Linked DNA regions of Xenopus tropicalis. The protein of the gene in region 2 interacts with the protein of the main gene of each other region in a biochemical or structural test. Links are inferred from orthologs where the notes say so. Each region holds a gene or a part of one and is shown on either strand. Other genes may lie near its edges.

Evidence for each region.
Region 1: the proteins of txnip (region 2) and slc2a1 form a complex in vitro, tested with the Homo sapiens proteins (2 studies listed by BioGRID). The link is inferred for Xenopus tropicalis from reciprocal best matches to the Homo sapiens genes TXNIP and SLC2A1.

What each region holds. Positions count from the first base shown.
Region 1 is NC_030681.2:34,799-43,868, reverse strand, and holds the end of slc2a1 (solute carrier family 2 (facilitated glucose transporter), member 1), read right to left. Parts: intron 6,595-9,070; coding exon 6,434-6,594; intron 6,232-6,433; coding exon 5,991-6,231; intron 5,907-5,990; coding exon 5,744-5,906; intron 5,665-5,743; coding exon 5,477-5,664; intron 5,147-5,476; coding exon 5,042-5,146; intron 4,910-5,041; coding exon 4,808-4,909; intron 4,716-4,807; coding exon 4,512-4,715; intron 3,600-4,511; coding exon 3,396-3,599; 3' UTR 1,169-3,395; downstream 1-1,168. UniProt on the Homo sapiens protein: Facilitative glucose transporter, which is responsible for constitutive or basal glucose uptake. Has a very broad substrate specificity; can transport a wide range of aldoses including both pentoses and hexoses.
Region 2 is NC_030684.2:128,519,737-128,530,695, forward strand, and holds txnip (thioredoxin-interacting protein), read right to left. Parts: upstream 6,000-10,959; coding exon 5,759-5,999; exon of another isoform or gene 5,427-5,758; intron 5,026-5,426; coding exon 4,953-5,025; intron 4,840-4,952; coding exon 4,692-4,839; intron 4,378-4,691; coding exon 4,275-4,377; intron 3,903-4,274; coding exon 3,646-3,902; intron 3,323-3,645; coding exon 3,163-3,322; intron 3,065-3,162; coding exon 2,913-3,064; intron 2,800-2,912; coding exon 2,767-2,799; 3' UTR 1,321-2,766; downstream 1-1,320. UniProt on the Homo sapiens protein: May act as an oxidative stress mediator by inhibiting thioredoxin activity or by limiting its bioavailability.

The DNA.
Region 1 (9,070 bases), on a different chromosome or scaffold from region 2:
TGGCCTTGGGATACAGAACATTCCGTCTGTAGGGGGAAACTTTCCGCTCCGAATCTTTTTGTTCCGACACATTTGCTTCTATAGAAATAGTAAATGTCGGAGGCACATGACTCATTCCCACGATTCCTGCTGATTTGCATATGCTAATGAGCGGTTTGTGCGATGCCCCCTGGTGGCGCTGGGATTTGCTTTATGGCGACGCAGCCAATTTCTCTCACTTACTGCCCCCTGGTGGCGCTGGGATTTGCTTTATGGCGACGCAGCCAATTTCTCTCACTTACTGCCCCCAGGTGGCGCCGTGACACAGGGGGAGGGAATAGGCAGTCTGCACGTTAGGATCCGAATTATTAGGCCGTGTCGGTGCTATTGGGCCCCTATTCTGTATGCACCAATGGCCCCTCAGCAGCCAGGCCTCATATCCCATAATCCCCTTCTCTAACCATGTGACTAATGGCAGAGAGATTCCCCTCAGCAGCCAGGCCTCATCTCCCATAATCCCCTTCTCCAACCATGTGACTAATGGCAGAGAGATTCCCCTCAGCAGCCAGGCCTCATATCCCATAATCCCCTTCTCTAACCATGTGACTAATGGCAGAGAGATTCCCCTCAGCAGCCAGGCCTCATCTCCCATAATCCCCTTCTCCAACCATGTGACTAATGGCAGAGAGATTCCCCTCAGCAGCCAGGCCTCATATCCCATAATCCCCTTCTCCAACCATGTGACTAATGGCAGAGAGATTCCCCTCAGCAGCCAGGCCTCATATCCCATAATCCCCTTCTCCAACCATGTGACTAATGGCAGAGAGATTCCCCTCAGCAGCCAGGCCTCATCTCCCATAATCCCCTTCTCCAACCATGTGACTAATGGCAGAGAGATTCCCCTCAGCAGCCAGGCCTCGTATCCCATAATCCCCTTCCCCAACCATGTGACTAATGGCAGAGAGATTCCCCTCAGCATCCAGGCCTCATATCCCATAATCCCCTTCTCCAACCATGTGACTAATGGCAGAGAGATTCCCCCCAGCAGCCTCTCTATCTCCCCACCCTATCCGCCCCCTTTTATGTCACTGCCCCTTCCCTCAGAGTCCTGCCCACCTCCCACCAGCCACACAGAGACCCCCCGATAATGATCTCCCCTCATTTACAGCAAAGAGAAGACACAAAATTCTTCATCAATTTTTAATTCGAGACAAAATCTCACAATAAATAAAAAAACAAACTCTCTAGAACAACAGTAACGAGTGTGAGGATAATGAGCGGCGATTACCCGGTACAAACACACACCGACACGGGGGCTTCATAGCAAAATCCACATTTCCCACAATCCCTTGAGTTAAAGGGGAAATAGTCCTCGTCTCTTGTCCAACAGGAGGATCACTGTGTATTTTATACTTATTAGTGAGAGCTGCAATACCACGAGCCTCAGCCATTCCTCATAGGCAGAACAGCGCCACCTAGTGTTAAGGATAGGTGTAGCTTTAGTCTATGAACAATGGCCGTGTCAGCAACATGGCAGCTCCCACGTATCCATAGAAACACAATACTCATATAGGGAACGTTCTGTGCGGCCAATGATCAGTCTCTGGGTGGAGCCTCAATATAAATTATTATTCCCCCCATTATATGCTGGATAAAGGGCAACTACACCGGGGCCCCAGGAATAATGAACAGTAACGTTGGGGCCCCGGGCGCCACAAATACAGCCAATAGGGCGGGAATAATAATAACAGCGCAGATTTCATTTCTCATCATTGATAAAAACTGACCTATCAGCTTTGACCTATTGTGCAAAAAAACAAACCATGTGACTAAAATAAATATTTACAGTACGTTATCGTCATTGCTCCGGTATCATCAGAACCGCCATCCGACAAAAATATATATATACTTATACCTATAAATATATATAAATAGCTCTGGGGCTGTACAAGGGGGGGCCGGGGGGGCCCCATGTAGTGTATGATCCATAACCCAATTGCTACACTGGCTCCATAGAAGGGGGTGCAGGGGGGCTCACACTGACTGCCAGTCTAAGTGCCAGCTCCTGGGTCTAGCATTTACTGCCACATTGTCCCCTACCATGGAAACGACCTATAGAGACTGGGCCTGGGGGGGGCAGTTATTATTATAGGTCACTTGCTCAGTAAGTGAAGCCCCACCCACAGTTTAACTGCAGTTTGTCATTTCCCCCCTAGGGGGGCCCCTAGGATTCTAACACCCTGCTTCTGATTTATAAACCCCCCCAGGGTCTCTCTGCACCCCCCCTAACAAAACAGCAGCTGCAAATATCAAAAACATGCGGAATGTCAAGTTCTACAGCAAAACGCCCCCCCCCCCCCCAACCTTGTACAAGAGCCCCCCCGTAACCTAGTAACCACCCTGTCTCCTCTATGGGAACATCCCTGGGTGAGTGCGAGCGAGATGGGATTCGGGGGGGGGGGGTCTCTGGCAGGAAGTGGGGATCAAGCCCCCCCGGCACCCTGTCTATTGGAAATGATGCAGTACCCAGGGTCACCACTAGGGACCACGTCCCCTCGTTCTACTGTTTTAGGGGTCTCATTGGGGTCACATAATGCCCACAAGTGGGGGTATCAGCTGCCACAGTGCCCACCGCCTGAGTAAAGTGCCGGTGCTGGGAAACGTCTGGAGTTGTCCATCTGGGGGCCCCCTAACAGGTTTTCATTGCCCCCCCAGTCTGTTTCTAGAACATCATCAGTTGAACCGAATCTGTCCCTCGATAACAGCTCCGTTCTAGAGCCCCCTCGGTTCTAGCTGCCCCAGGACCGATCCCCACATCTTGCCAGAGGAGATACCCCCCCCAATCCCATGTGACCCAGTGTCAGGGACCGCTAATTAGGGTCCCCCCCCCCCGGGGCCCACACACACAATACAGTATATATATCGGGTCCAAACGAGCCTTTTGGTGCCATTACACTTTCTCAAAAAATATTAAAGGAAAACTAAACCATAAAAAAATACTACGTTATGTAAACAGAGTCCAAGGTGATCGGGGGGGTCGCCCCCCCCCCCACTGCCCAGAATCCCGGGATAAAATCTTCCTTACGTGAAAAGCTCACACTAATTAAAAAAATAATCCATTAAAATAACGAAGCCATCTAGCATTATATATAGAGCTCTATGGTTCCGCCTTCTCTTTCCTTCATGTCGGCCACACGTGGAAATGAAATTAGTGAGTTAATGTTTGTGGCTGGTCGGGCCGTGTGGCCGGAGGGGCAAATACATCCAAATAAACTCCCTGCCCCCTCTCGCTAACTCCCAGACTCCTCCGGGAAACGGCGGCCGACCAACCGCGGGCCTGGGGGCAAGTAACGACTGAAGGGGGGGACGAGGGGGGTAACAACAGGAGGTAGGTGCCGGGGGGGGGGGTAGAAATGTTACACTTGGGAGTCGTCGGCGTTGTGCCCCAAACTGTTCAGCTCCTCCGCCTGTTTGACCATCTGGCCCTCGCCCTGGCGGAACTCGGAGGCGATCTCGTCGAAGGTGCGCCCCTTGGTCTCCGGCACCTTGAAGTAGGTGAAGACGAAGAAGATGAGGAGGAGGACGGTGAAGATGATGAAGACGTAGGCGCCGCACAGTTGCTGTAGAAGTAAAAGAGAGAAAATGTTGAGGATTTTGCCCCACACACTGGGATACTGGGGGCAACTGCCCCACTACTGGCTGAGGGGCCACGTTCCCAACAATGGGAAGTCTTTCCATAGACTCAGTGCCCCCCAATAATGGGAGCTATAGGGGAAATTCCAGCCTTGTTCCGCCCAACAGCCTTGGGGAGTCATGGGTGGATCTAGTGGCTACCATGGGTGGATCTAGTGGCTACCATGGGTGGATCTAGTGGCCACCAGGGGTGGATCTAGTGGCCTCCAGGGGTGGATCTAGTGGCCTCCAGGGGTGGATCTAGTGGCCTCCAGGGGTGGATCTAGTGGCCTCCAGGGGTGGATCTAGTGGCCTCCAGGGGTGGATCTAGTGGCCTCCAGGGGTGGATCTAGTGGCCTCCAGGGGTGGATCTAGTGGCCTCCAGGGGTGGATCTAGTGGCCTCCAGGGGTGGATCTAGTGGCCTCCATGGGTGGATCTAGTGGCCTCCATGGGTGGATCTAGTGGCCTCCATGGGTGGATCTAATGGCTTCCATGGGTGGATCTAGTGGCTTCCATGGATGGATCTAGTGGCTTCCATGGGTGGATCTGGTGGCTTCAATGGGTGGATCTAGTGGCCTCCATGGGTGGATCTAGTGGCCTCCATGGGTGGATCTAGTGGCCTCCATGGGTGGATCTAGTGGCTTCCATGGGTGGATCTAGTGGCTTCCATGGGTGGATCTAGTGGCTTCCATGGAAGGACTTTCTGACCCCAGACTGGTCCCTTTGGGCCCAATCATGGGAATGATGTATATTTCCTCCTTTATTACCAGGATCCCTTCCCTGCTGGTTTGATTGGCAGACCCACAACTCCCACACAACCCCACTGTCCCCCACACAGACCAATTCACCGGCCACTTACCTCTACATATTGGAAGCCCATTCCCACTATAAAGTTGGAAGTCCAGTTGGAAAGGCCGGCGACTGCGATGGCCGCGGGTCTGGGGCCCTGGCTGAAGAGTTCTGCTACAATGAACCATGGGATGGGCCCCGGGCCAATTTCAAAGAAGGCCACGAAGCCAAAGATGGCCACAATGCTGAGATAGGACATGCCACCGACGCTGTCCTGTAGGGGGAGACAATGAGTGTTATCAGCTATCCAGGCATATCAACTGCCCTCCTCTGCCCACCCATTCCATATATGCCCCTCGGGCTTACCAGCAGGGCCAACGCGATGGTCATCAGGATGGCACAAACCGCCATTCCGCCCAGTCCAATGAGGTGAAGGGTTCGCCGGCCGGCCCGTTCCACTACAAACAGCTGTGGGGATAAAAAGACTTGTATAAAGAAGCTGCGATCTATATGTTGCCCCCACACCCCTCTGAATATGCCCCTGTATGTGGCATTGAGCTGCCCAACCCCCTTACAAGGACTCGATTCCCATCAACTCACCGACACGACGGTGAAGGCCGTATTCACAATCCCCGCGCCAATGGTGGCGTACACCGGCTGCTCCACTTGGGCCTTTTGGAAGATCATGGTGGAGTAGTAAAAGACCTGCAAGAAGACAAAGCCGGTTGGTTGGTTGGTTGGGTCCAACAGAGCTCATCCGAGCAAAGAGCATTGTGCCCTTTTGGTTCTAGAACTTTCATGTACTAGAGCCGGAACCATTTATAGTTGGGCGGATCAACCAGTGAAGATGAATCAGAAGACGCCAAGACTCACTAGGGTTATTCCTAGAGTGGGGCGGTTTTATTGCCCTCTATAAGGGAACCGCCAAGGGTAATTAGCTGCAATGCTTCATGCTGACCAGCAGGGGCTGCTACACTACTGAGTTCCACAGGGGGGATAGAGAGATGCCAGTAGGACATCTGACGGTGCCCTTACCGCGTTGATCCCAGAGAGCTGCTGGGACAGTTGCAGGATGATGGCGATGAACATGGGTTGGCGATAGAGCGGGGAGCGGAACAGTTCCAAGATGGTGACTTTCTTCTCCCGCATCATCTGCCGACTCTCCTCCTTCATCTCCTGCAGGTCACTGCTCACGTCGGTGGTGCCGCGGAGCTTCTTCAGCACTGAGAGAGGGAGTGGGAGATGATGAGACCTGAAGCCTACTGAGATGCCTACACACACGGTAACGTGGGAAAGACCTACCGCTCTTGGCTTTGTCTTCCTCGTTGCGATTAATGAGCAGGAAACGAGGGCTTTCGGGGCAGAAGGGCAGCATGATGCACTGCAATATGGCCGGGATGAATATGCAGCCCAATAGGAAGGGCCACAGGGAGTCGTTGCCCATGATTGGCTTCAGCCCGAAGATCTACACAATGAACAGAAAAGCTTTAGTACCCAGGAAAAGCCCCGGCCCAACCAGATGGACATGGTCATGAGATTGTCCCCCTACCTGGGCAATAAGGATTCCAACCACCACGCCCAACTGGTGCAGGGTCCCCAGGGCTCCTCGCAGCGATGTGGGGGACACTTCTCCGACGTACATTGGCACGAAACCGGTGGTGAGGCCACAGTAGAGTCCAACCACAAACCGGCCAATGATCAGCATCTCGAAGGAGACTGCAAGCTTGGAGAATCCCATCAAAATGGCGGCTAGGAAGGCCAGGACGTTGGCCATCAGCATGGAGTTGCGCCTGGGGTTCAGAGGAGAAAGGCACACGTCAGGCCATTAATTCCTCAGCCCTTATTGGCCATTGGGCACGGACCTGGCACTACCATGATGTGACCCCCCGCCCCCCACTAAATATCCTGGAAGGTGTAGTCCAGTAGTGGAGCAAGGTCCAACATTTCCGTGGGAGGTTTATTTCCCCTTTAGCTGGAGGGCCGCCCCCTTACCTGCCGAATCGGTTGACAAACAGCCCCACGGAGAAGGAGCCGACCATCCCGCCCACAGAGAAGATGGCCACGGACAGGGACCACAGGGAGGTGAGGGTGGACTCTGGGATGGGCTCGTTGTACCGCTCCAGCCACGTGGCATTGTAGAAGCCCTCGATCACCTGCGGGAACATCAAGGGTTAACGGTCACCTGGAATTTAGGTTTAACCATTTCATCCCATAACGCGGGCAATTGGCGTCGGACATGAACAATCAGGAGGGGAGTTAGCGCTCGGCTGAACTCTAACGCCCCATAGAGCAGTAATGGCGTCCCACTTCTATATTCACTCATACGAGTAACCCTTTCCTGTCAGCATTCATGGGGTTAATAAGAAACGGCTGCGTGGGGGGGGGGGGTTGATGAATCTGCCCCTGGGAGTCACGTACAGAAAGCAGTGCATTCTGGGGGAAAAGGGGCACCGAGAGCAGTGTAACACACGACTACAACTCCCAGAAGCCTCAGCAGCACAGGTAACACACAGATACAACTCCCAGAAGCCTCAGCAGCACAGGTAACACACAGATACAACTCCCAGAAGCCTCAGCAGCACAGGTAACACACAGATACAACTCCCAGAAGCCTCAGCAGCACAGGTAACACACAGATACAACTCCCAGAAGCCTCAGCAGCACAGGTAACACACAGATACAACTCCCAGAAGCCTCAGCAGCACAGGCAACACACAGATACAACTCCCAGAAGCCTTAGCAGCGCAGGTAACACACAGATACAACTCCCAGAAGCCTTAGCAGCGGCCAGCAGGGGGCAGGGGCAGGAGCAGCTGGGCAGGGCCGGGGGGGGGGGGGGGGGGTTGGTTAGTGACGTTAATCAGCTGTTATGGAGCTGCCGGGGCAGTAACTTGATCCTCCCTGGGCTCGGGGTGAACGAGTCCAAGTTGCTGAAATTCCAGTCCCCACGGGCCGAGCCATGTGATTGGCTGCTGCGTGTAACATGATGCAAGCGCTCAGGGTAAAGCGCACGGTCCTGCCTGCAACATCTTATTTGCCCTATGGGAAACTTCCAGCCACTCAGTGGGCCCCAGCCTCTTAAAGGAACAGTAACACCAAAAAAATGAAAGAGCTTTAAAGTAATAAAATTATAATGCACTGTTGCCCTGCACTGGTACAGCTGGGGTGTTTGCTACAGAAACCCTACTATAGTTTATATAAATACCCCGCTGTGTAGCCCCGGGGGCAGCCGTTCCTGCACTGGTACAGCTGGGGTGTTTGCTACAGAAACCCTACTATAGTTTATATAAATACCCCGCTGTGTAGCCCCGGGGGCAGCCATTCCTGCACTGGTACAGCTGGGGTGTTTGCTACAGAAACCCTACTATAGTTTATATAAATACCCCGCTGTGTAGCCCCGGGGGCAGCCATTCCTGCACCGGTACAGCTGGGGTGTTTGCTACAGAAACCCTACTATAGTTATATAAATACCCCGCTGTGTAGCCCCGGGGGCAGCCATTCCTGCACTGGTACAGCTGGTGTGTTTGCTACAGAAACCCTACTATAGTTTATATAAATACCCCGCTGTGTAGCCCCGGGGGCAGCCGTTCCTGCACTGGTACAGCTGGGGTGTTTGCTACAGAAACCCTACTATAGTTTATATAAATACCCCGCTGTGTAGCCCCGGGGGCAGCCATTCAAGCTGGAAAAAAGGAGAAAAGGCACAGGCACATAGCAGATAACAGATAAAACACCATTGTATTCTACAGAACTTATCTGTTATCTGCTATGTAACCTGTGCCTTTTCTCCTTTTTTCCAGCTTGAACGGCTGCCCCCGGGGCTACACAGCGGGGTATTTATATAAACTATAGTAGGGTTTCTGTAGCAAACACCCCAGCTGTACCAGTGCAGGAATGGCTGCCCCCGGGGCTACACAGCGGGGTATTTATATAAACTATAGTAGGGTTTCTGTAGCAAACACCCCAGCTGTACCAGTGCAGGAATGGCTGCCCCCGGGGCTACACAGCGGGGTATTTATATAAACTATAGTAGGGTTTCTGTAGCAAACACCCCAGCTGTACCAGTGCAGGAACGGCTGCCCCCGGGGCTATACAGCGGGGGTATTATTTAAACTATAGTAGGGTTTCTGTAGCAAACACCCCAGCTGTACCAGTGCAGGAATGGCTGCCCCCGGGGCTACACAGCGGGGTATTATATAAAACTATAGTAGGGTTTCTGTAGCAAACACCCAGCTGTACCAGTGCAGGAATGGCTGCCCCCGGGGCTACACAGCGGGGTATTTATTTAAACTATAGTAGGGTTTCTGTAGCAAACACCCCAGCTGTACCGGTGCAGGAATGGCTGCCCCCGGGGCTACACAGCGGGGTATTTATATAAACTATAGTAGGGTTTCTGTAGCAAACACCCCAGCTGTACCAGTGCAGGAATGGCTGCCCCCGGGGCTACACAGCGGGGTATTTATATAAACTATAGTAGGGTTTCTGTAGCAAACACACCAGCTGTACCGTGCAGGAATGGCTGCCCCCGGGGCTACACAGCGGGGTATTTATATAAACTATAGTAGGGTTCTGTAGCAAACACCCCAGCTGTACCAGTGCAGGAATGGCTGCCCCCGGGGCTACACAGCG
Region 2 (10,959 bases):
CATGGACAGCACACATTCCACTCTGTAGCATATTTGCCCACAACAGCCAGTAATAATACAGCATTTCATTAGCCTATTGACCAGATCACTGGTGAAAGCCATGCAATCAGACTGGCCAGTGAACAGAGAGCAGTTGTCCCCAACCAGTGGCCTCAAAATAGGTGCATACGTTTAGTTTGTTACATACGTTAGGTTCATTAAATCCAGGTGTGCTGTTTCTTGTAGGCAGTCAGTCCACATATGGGCTATCAAATAGTAAATTGCTGCCTCTATCTGGCACCTCAGAAACTATTGTAGTGCTTGTATTGCTCCTTAAATCTCTTAACATTTGAATGTGGCTTACAGGTAATAAAGATTGTAGACCCTACCCTAGAATATTCCATGTTAACTGATGTCAGGAGTGATCCTGGACTACTCCATAGAATTCCTTCTGCTTTGCATACAAATAAGGAGGGTATTTTCTCAACCAAAATGCTCCATTATTTAGAAACCACACTATCCCAGGTTCCACTATAGTGTTGGGATGTTTGGGGTCTTCATTGACAGGTATAAAGCGCTTTGGTTAATTCTGTCCCAGATAGCTCATGGTATTAGGTTAGCTTTCACAGACTTAAGCTGGCCATATACGTTCAGATTTTAGTTCTTATGACGAACATTCGGATATTGTTTCAACGCAACAATCTAAAACTAACATTTAGACAGAAATTGTATTATTGACAATTAACAATTACCAGACAGGAAAACTGTATGAATCTCCTTGTTTCTATGATTATATTGGTGCATGTATGGCCAGCTTTAATAATATGATAAAGAATAAACTAAACCCTCGGAGTGCAATTTACAGGTTTTCCTCCAATAACATGAAATAAATGTAAGATTTAACCTTGGCTTACATTATAACTAGACAAATATTGCCACCTGTTTTACATGATGGCATCAACACAGCCGACGCTTGCCAACTGGCAAGAGCCAGGATTGTAACGTTAGCGTGGATTACATGAGGAAATCCAATCATGTTAGATAATTACACTTAGTGCCAACATTCATTCATAAACAAATCAAGTTTTTTTTTTTATATATTTCTTATCTTTATTTAAAAAATAAATATTGCCTTTAAACAGGCAACATTTCACAGTACAAAATATAATAATAATCTTTGTAACTGATATACAAAAACAGCAATGAATATTCCTCTTACAAAAGAAAAAAAAAAAAAAACCCTCCTCGGTGCAAGCATACATTCCCCAAGGAAACACAGAAGTTTTGCAGTGCTAAGTTACAGTACAAGAGATTAAGTGCTTGCTCCAAGAATCTGCAATACAAGTAGAAGTCTGCAAACGTTTAGGTCAAGAATGTTCGAACAGGGAAGGGCGGAAAAATCAAAAACACATTTTCATACATCAATGCAAAAGGAAGCCTTGTTTTAGGAAAGCTAAAAATAGCATAGTAGGCAGCAACATTAGGCTTAAGTGCATTGAAAGACTGGCGTTTTTTTTCTATTTCATTACAGAATACTGTATGTCGACTAACGAGATAAAAATAGCCCTTTATACAGTGAAACTAAAAGCTGCCAGTCGGGACGATAACAAAAATGATTTCATGCGTGTCCCAAAGGCAGATATTATTAATGGTGACGTTTCCTTTCAAGATCTGCAGTAGATTTCAAACATCTTAAATCATTGTACAGACTGAGAAAGTGATGTCACAATTAAAGCTGATCATTTTCCGGAGATCATTGCAATTTTACAAAAGCCCCCTAAGACACTGTTATGCAACAGGCTGAGAATCAGAATATTTTTTAGCTCACTATAGCTGGACGGTCAGTGAAACCTGCCCTAAGACCTGAACAATATAAAGGAGAAGCCATTCTGTAGTGGTTACATATGCCCAACCCCCTCCCCCCAAAAATTTTTTATAATAGCTTAAACATTCCACAGAATAATTAGAAAGTGCTTTACAAAGAAAAACAAAAATACTTAACACTGTTTTCTAACAGGAGAATACTAACAAATGTCACAAAAAAGGACAACATTTTTGCATGTTAATATATAAAGGATCATGCAGCATGCATATCCTGTTTTTTAGAGATATACACGCAGAAGGTTATTGGATTCGGAAAACATAATTGCGGGATTGCATTTGTAGGGTATATTAATGCCAGCTTCTCATGATTTTCTTAATCACCTCATTTACATAATTAAACCCTTCAACATATCAAAAGGGCCAGTAAAGTTACTATCCATCTCTGTCCTCTGAGTTAATGCCCTCGCTGGAATGCTTTCTGGCGTGACTTCTATAGCCCTACTTCATAAGGCACCAGTAGAAAAGGTAGACTAGCATTCTATAGTCATTTGAAATCCTTTGACCCTTGCTTATAAATAAGAGGGCAGGGAGGGGGAAAAGTAAGAATCACACCATTCAGACTCATTAACAGTTTGGTGTTGCTTAATTATCAGTCTTTGTGTGTGCTCTCAGTGATCAAATACTATGTGTGTTCGAATGTCCTCATATCCACCATTGGCCACAGATTCTTGCCCACAAAGGGCATAAAGCAGACCGCTCTTTATCTTCATGGCACATCTTAATCAGGCGATGCAGGTTTAAGGCAAGTGTGAAAGTCTTTCCTTGTCTTTGGTTCAAGCTCCTGAACCAAGCCCTTGAAGAAAAGGCCACTTACAGCTACCACATGGCCACTGTGTAACAGTAGTCAAGTGAAGAATTTAAACATAAAAGAATGAACATCCTTGGTGGTTTCTGCTTTTCGGTTTACTGCACACATGTGTTTTTGTTGACATCAACCTGATGAAGAAAAAATACAAATAGTTTAGCCAAAGGTTAGCCATCTCATTTTTTAGATTAAGTTGTGCTAATTCAAGTGGACAAGCCAAGTAGTATCAATAGAAGAAGCTTACCTCTGTGTAGGTTGGGGGGGGCATGTATTTAAACTCTGGAGCATACATGAAGATAGGGCTGTCGCAGGCTCCATCTAAATCATCCAACAATGGAGTGGTGGGGCTCTCCAGTCTGTGATCTTCAGGAACAATGTCCAGGTAGCCTGGAGGAGCTGAGGGAAATAACAGGAATAATGCATAAGACTTTAGTCTGAATACAACACGTTGGTCTAAAAGAACAATAAACAGAGCAATATTTTAAGAAACACACCTTCTGGGGTGCCTGGGATGTTCAGTTCAATCCAGCTCATCTCAGAGCTGGCCTGGCTTGCCATGCTAGAGGTACGGCTGTTCATTCCAGAAGAACTGGAGCCTATGACAAGGGGCAAGTTGAGGATGATCTTCTTGGCACCAGGGACGCTGACATAGACCTGCAATGTAAAAGGAAGAGTAGTAAGTTATCACTGCAATGCACTGGATTTTATTTCCCTTTCTACTCTCACTTGACTTTTTCAGTAATCATATCAAAGATCTTGGTGGGTTATGCTGATCAAGTTCCTTTCAGTTGGTTACCCACAGAAACCAACCATCATTTAGCTCTGAATAGTCTAGGGTGGTTAAAATAATAAAGGAACCATCTGATTGGAGTTGTCATGGGTTGGTAGACTTAAGCAAGCTTCATACTTCTTGCTAGACACTTCCATTTACACTAGATGACATTGCAACAACCAATCTGACTTAAGCCAAAACTTACCAGCAGGGAGTATTCAACACGCAGGATGTTACACCCCAAGATGGAAGGCTTGATTTTAGGTACACGGATACTCTTCCCTCTCCATGAGTCAGTCATGCCTGAAATGATGTGATTGCCTCTCACACTGCATAATTTCTGAGTGAAGACTTTGGTCTGGCCATTGGCCAGATAGGTGTGCTTGGATATAATGGCAGCTTTGGGGACAACGATGCGGGAGCAAGTGTTCTCAAAGTCAGCAGAGATGCAGATGTCTTCACCTATAAAAGAAGGGTAAATCTAGTTGAGAGGGAAGCCATTTTTTTTATGCAAAAACTAGTTGTCTGCAACATTTTGTCTTTTCTACCTGCAATTCTGACCTTATTTAATTTAGGTTTTTTGGAGTCTTCTTTGAAACCTTATACATACATATGTACCACATATCATTTAGATGGTTAGAGACAAATGAATGGAGGAACCTGCCCCATTGAGCTAATGCTTAAATATATATTGTTGTAGTTATTTATATTCTGTAATTGCATTGATCCCCCATCAGTTCTATCAGTGTATAATTTTAATGTACAGCTCTGTGTACACAAGTATCCAAACATACAAACATAAATTCTGTATCTACATTAAACAAAGAACCTTACCTTCACAGAATCCCTTGCGGTTAATGCAGGCACTCATAGAGATGTGGCCATCAGGAATGAACATGCACGTCATCTTCTTGTACTTTTTGCCAGACACTGGTGACTGCCAGGAAGAAACAAACAAGATTAGTGATGCTCTACTGAGCTGCTAAAGACAGGACACCAGCTACTGCTCTGACCCTCTGACCCTGGGGCTAATCTATAAACTCATTAGCTGCTCTGTCAATGAACCTGACCTATAATGAGTGCTGAAAGGGCAGGAGATCACTCCTCAGATAATCCAAGCATGCAAGACTACCTGCAACTGGGTATTGCAACTTTATACAATAAGGTGTAACTTTACCATTGAATACTTTTATTTCTATGACTGCACATAACTATAAGATCTATAGGACTTAGTATATAAAATATAGTTACCATGAGATCTGGAGTGTCTACATTCACAGAGTCCTCAACTTGAAAGTGCTTCTGTGCTTCTTGGGGAGGATGGGATGGCCGATCGAGGAAAGCTTTAACCCAGTACTTCACAGAACCATACTTTCCTTTGAATGATGACCCCAAAGGACTGCAAAGAGATACAGGACCATAAGACTTGATATACAAAAATAAAACAGACAAAAAAACAAAACACAAGCAGATAAATGTAATTGCTACATTTAATAAAAGCAGGATACCTACCCTTGGGGCAGCTCGAAACCGAACTTGTATTCATAGAAGTTGCCTGGCCTCATAATGACAGATCCATCGGAATCTATTTAAGATAACAAGAGACACAGAAATGAAGTTATAGCTTGGTAAAGTTTTGTCAAGGAATCACAAAATGCTGAATTGCTAACTGCGTGTAGCATTATTGCCTTATGTTGAACAGAAAGGGACAGGACAATCTTCTTTATAAGATACTATTAATCTCCCAGTACGATATGGACTGAATCCAATAGGTTGATCTGAAACTAACACACCCTGCCATGGCAACCGTGCACCAGTGCAGATCGGGATGTCCTGCCAATAGCCTCTGTAGTTTTCACACAAGCATCATATTTCTCACATACAGTGTGCATTACAGTACTGAGCCAGTGCAATAGGATCGCAGGACACAGCACTTCCAGTAGCAGGCTCTGCATACCAGGAATATTTGCCAAGTCCCAAATTCAAGTCCAGATGATGCTTACAGGGACACTGCATAGCGGGGCATTTAATGACCATAGCGGTGCATTTAATGAGTCTATTACTACAGTGCCACCAAGCACAGAGGGACACCAGATAGGAAATCAACATACGCAAAGGGGTATGTCGTCGGGTATAAAGAGCCACATCCTCATAGCCGTCATGCAGTTTAAAGGGACTACAAACCCACTTCCTATCATGCTCGTAATGCTCTTTGAAAGCATCAGGCAACCCAGCAATGCAGAGATAAACAACCCTCCAAACTACTCACAGTACCTCCATCTTTCCCTCCCACCTTTGGCCCCAACATTGCTTCTCACCTGTAGGCTGCTCCTCCATCTGCAAGGTGTCCTCAAATCTCAAGTACTCCATCTCCTGCTTGCAGTTCTGGGACCACAATACTTTGGCCACTCCACAAGCCAACACTCTGACGGCTGTCACCCGGGTCACTTCGGCCACCTCCACCAGGACCTTGCCGGTTACCTTCTCCCCGCCGCAGTACACCTTCTGCGGGTCGGCGAAGGACACTTCGAAGCACTTGACTTTCTTGAAGACAACCATGATGACAATGAGTTCTATTCCAATGGGCAACTAAGAAGCCTGAGAAGACAGTTGGGCTGCAGGGGGCAACCTGTTTGGCAATGAGGAGTCCAATGGAATTGCAAGCAATGAAGAATAGTCCTTAGGTAAGGATCACACAAACAAGCAAAGAATTTTAGTTTCACTTCAGTGTCAGTTCAGTAGTGTGTGATCTCTCTAAGCCTGCACAGAGTTGCACTGGTTAGCAGGTCCCACACTTTCCAACCTACAGGTTGTAAACAACACCAGGAAATCAGCCTGATATAGCCCAACGTAACCCCGCCTCTGCGCTCTAGCTCCGCCCACCTCGTGTATCCCGACGGCTTCCCCATGCTCACCTCATGCACACAGCTGCCATTGGCCGGCGGAATGATGTCACAGGAGAGGCCAGCCAATGGGAGCCGTACGGCAACGCGTGAACAGGGCATGCAAGCGGCGGCAAGGAGTGCGGAGGGGGCGGGGCCTGCGGCTCATTCCTTAGGCTGTTAGTCAGGGCGGGCTGGGCTCGCTGGCTGGGGTGTGTGTGTAGGACTGGGCTCGCTGGCTCTGGGGGTTGTTTACTGTTGCGACTGGTTTCGTCTATATGGGGTAGTCATGTCATTGTGTGGCACCTGTGTATAACGGAATCGCAACATAGATAAAGTACTGTAAGGGCTGAAACTGCCCTCCGGCTCAGAACAGGGTGTAAGTCAATTTGACCCCATGCAGCACTGTTATACCTGGCACTGTTATACCTGGCACTGTAAAAGCGTGTGGCACAAAGGGGTACTGTAGGTACTGTACAAGTGCCCTTATGGTGCTACTGCTGATTTGTTATTCCCAGCATCCCCTGGCAATGATGGGAGGGATTGGAGTTGATAGTTTGGCTGGGATTACCTCATGGCCCCAGACTGTTTTGCCTTACTATACACAGTTCCATTACTATACACCCTGTCCCTCAGTTCTATTACTATACACACTGTCCCTCAGTTCCATTACTATACGCGCTGTCCCACAGTCCCATTACTATACGCGCTGTCCCACAGTTCCATCACTATACGCGCTGTCCCTCAGTTCCATCACTATACGCGCTGTCCCTCAGTTCCATTACTATACACACTGTCCCTCAGTTCCATTACTATACGCGCTGTCCCTCAGTTCCATCACTATACGCGCTGTCCCTCAGTTCCATTACTATACGCGCTGTCCCTCAGTTCCATTACTATACACACTGTCCCTCAGTTCCATTACTATACACACTGTCCCTCAGTTCCATCACTATACGCGCTGTCCCTCAGTCCTATTACTATACACCCTGTCCCTCAGTTCCATCACTATACACCCTGTCCCTCAGTCCTATTACTATACACCCTGTCCCTCAGTTCCATCACTATACACACTGTCCCTCAGTTCCATTACTATACGCGCTGTCCCTCAGTTCCATCACTATACGCGCTGTCCCTCAGTTCCATCACTATACGCGCTGTCCCTCAGTTCCATTACTATACACACTGTCCCTCAGTTCCATTACTATACGCGCTGTCCCTCAGTTCCATCACTATACGCGCTGTCCCTCAGTTCCATTACTATACGCGCTGTCCCTCAGTTCCATTACTATACACACTGTCCCTCAGTTCCATTACTATACACACTGTCCCTCAGTTCCATCACTATACGCGCTGTCCCTCAGTCCTATTACTATACACCCTGTCCCTCAGTTCCATCACTATACACCCTGTCCCTCAGTCCTATTACTATACACCCTGTCCCTCAGTTCCATCACTATACACACTGTCCCTCAGTTCCATTACTATACGCGCTGTCCCTCAGTTCCATCACTATACACACTGTCCCTCAGTTCCATCACTATACACACTGTCCCTCAGTCCCATTACTATACGCGCTGTCCCTCAGTTCCATCACTATACGCGCTGTCCCTCAGTTCCATCACTATACGCGCTGTCCCTCAGTTCCATCACTATACGCGCTGTCCCTCAGTTCCATTACTATACACACTGTCCCTCAGTTCCATCACTATACACCCTGTCCCTCAGTCCTATTACTATACACCCTGTCCCTCAGTTCCATCACTATACACACTGTCCCTCAGTTCCATTACTATACGCGCTGTCCCTCAGTCCTATTACTATACACACTGTCCCTCAGTCCCATCACTATACACCCTGTCCCTCAGTCCTATTACTATACACACTGTCCCTCAGTCCCATCACTATACACCCTGTCCCTCAGTCCTATTACTATACACACTGTCCCTCAGTCCCATTACTATACACCCTGTCCCTCAGTCCCATTACTATACGCGCTGTCCCTCAGTTCCATTACTATACACCCTGTCCCTCAGTTCCATTACTATACACCCTGTCCCTCAGTTCCATTACTATACGCGCTGTCCCTCAGTTCCATCACTATACGCGCTGTCCCTCAGTTCCATCACTATACGCGCTGTCCCTCAGTTCCATTACTATACGCGCTGTCCCACAGTCCCATTACTATACGCGCTGTCCCACAGTCCCATTACTATACGCGCTGTCCCTCAGTTTCATTACTATACACACTGTCCCTCAGTTCCATCACTATACACCCTGTCCCTCAGTCCTATTACTATACGCGCTGTCCCTCAGTTCCATTACTATACACCCTGTCCCTCAGTTCCATCACTATACACACTGTCCCTCAGTTCCATTACTATACGCGCTGTCCCTCAGTTCCATCACTATACACACTGTCCCTCAGTTCCATCACTATACACACTGTCCCTCAGTCCCATTACTATACGTGCTGTCCCTCAGTTCCATCACTATACGCGCTGTCCCTCAGTTCCATTACTATACGCGCTGTCCCTCAGTTCCATTACTATACACACTGTCCCTCAGTTCCATCACTATACACACTGTCCCTCAGTTCCATTACTATACGCGCTGTCCCTCAGTCCTATTACTATACACACTGTCCCTCAGTTCCATTACTATACACCCTGTCCCTCAGTCCTATTACTATACACCCTGTCCCTCAGTTCCATCACTATACACACTGTCCCTCAGTTCCATTACTATACGCGCTGTCCCTCAGTTCCATCACTATACACACTGTCCCTCAGTTCCATTACTATACGCGCTGTCCCTCAGTTCCATTACTATACGCGCTGTCCCTCAGTTCCATTACTATACACACTGTCCCTCAGTTCCATCACTATACACACTGTCCCTCAGTTCCATTACTATACGCGCTGTCCCTCAGTCCTATTACTATACACACTGTCCCTCAGTTCCATTACTATACACCCTGTCCCTCAGTCCTATTACTATACACCCTGTCCCTCAGTTCCATCACTATACACACTGTCCCTCAGTTCCATTACTATACGCGCTGTCCCTCAGTCCTATTACTATACACACTGTCCCTCAGTCCCATCACTATTCACCCTGTCCCTCAGTCCTATTACTATACACACTGTCCCTCAGTCCCATCACTATACACCCTGTCCCTCAGTCCTATTACTATACACACTGTCCCTCAGTCCCATTACTATACACCCTGTCCCTCAGTCCCATTACTATACGCGCTGTCCCTCAGTTCCATTACTATACACCCTGTCCCTCAGTTCCATTACTATACACCCTGTCCCTCAGTTCCATTACTATACGCGCTGTCCCTCAGTTCCATCACTATACGCGCTGTCCCTCAGTTCCATCACTATACGCGCTGTCCCTCAGTTCCATTACTATACGCGCTGTCCCACAGTCCCATTACTATACGCGCTGTCCCACAGTCCCATTACTATACGCGCTGTCCCTCAGTTCCATTACTATACGCGCTGTCCCTCAGTTCCATTACTATACACACTGTCCCTCAGTTCCATTACTATACACCCTGTCCCTCAGTTCCATTACTATACACTGTCCCTCAGTCCTATTACTATACGCACTGTCCCTCAGTTCCATTACTATACACACTGTCCCTCAGTTCCATTACTATACACACTGTCCCACAGTTCCATTACTATACACCCTGTCCCTCAGTTCCATTACTATACACCCTGTCCCTCAGTCCCATTACTATACGTGCTGTCCCTCAGTCCCATTACTATACGTGCTGTCCCTCAGTTCCATTACTATACGTGCTGTCCCTCAGTCCCATTACTATACGCGCTGTCCCTCAGTTCCATTACTATACGCCCTGTCCCTCAGTTCCATTACTATACGCGCTGTCCCTCAGTTCCATTACTATACACCCTGTCCCTCAGTTCCATTACTATACACCCTGTCCCTCAGTTCCATTACTATACACCCTGTCCCTCAGTCCCATTACTATACGTGCTGTCCCTCAGTCCCATTACTATACGTGCTGTCCCTCAGTTCCATTACTATACGTGCTGTCCCTCAGTCCCATTACTATACGCGCTGTCCCTCAGTTCCATTACTATACGCCCTGTCCCTCAGTTCCATTACTATACGCGCTGTCCCTCAGTTCCATTACTATACGCGCTGTCCCTCAGTTCCATCACTATACGCGCTGTCCCTCAGTTCCATCACTATACGCGCTGTCCCACAGTTCCATTACTATACGCACTGTCCCTCAGTTCCATCACTATACGCGCTGTCCCTCAGTTCCATCACTATACGCGCTGTCCCACAGTTCCATTACTATACGCACTGTCCCTCAGTTCCATTACTATACGTGCTGTCCCTCAGTTCCATTACTATACGCGCTGTCCCTCAGTTCCATCACTATACGCGCTGTCCCTCAGTTCCATCACTATACGCGCTGTCCCACAGTTCCATTACTATACGCGCTGTCCCTCAGTTCCATCACTATACGCGCTGTCCCTCAGTTCCATCACTATACGCGCTGTCCCACAGTTCCATTACTATACGCACTGTCCCTCAGTTCCATTACTATACGCGCTGTCCCACAGTTCCATTACTATACGCGCTGTCCCTCA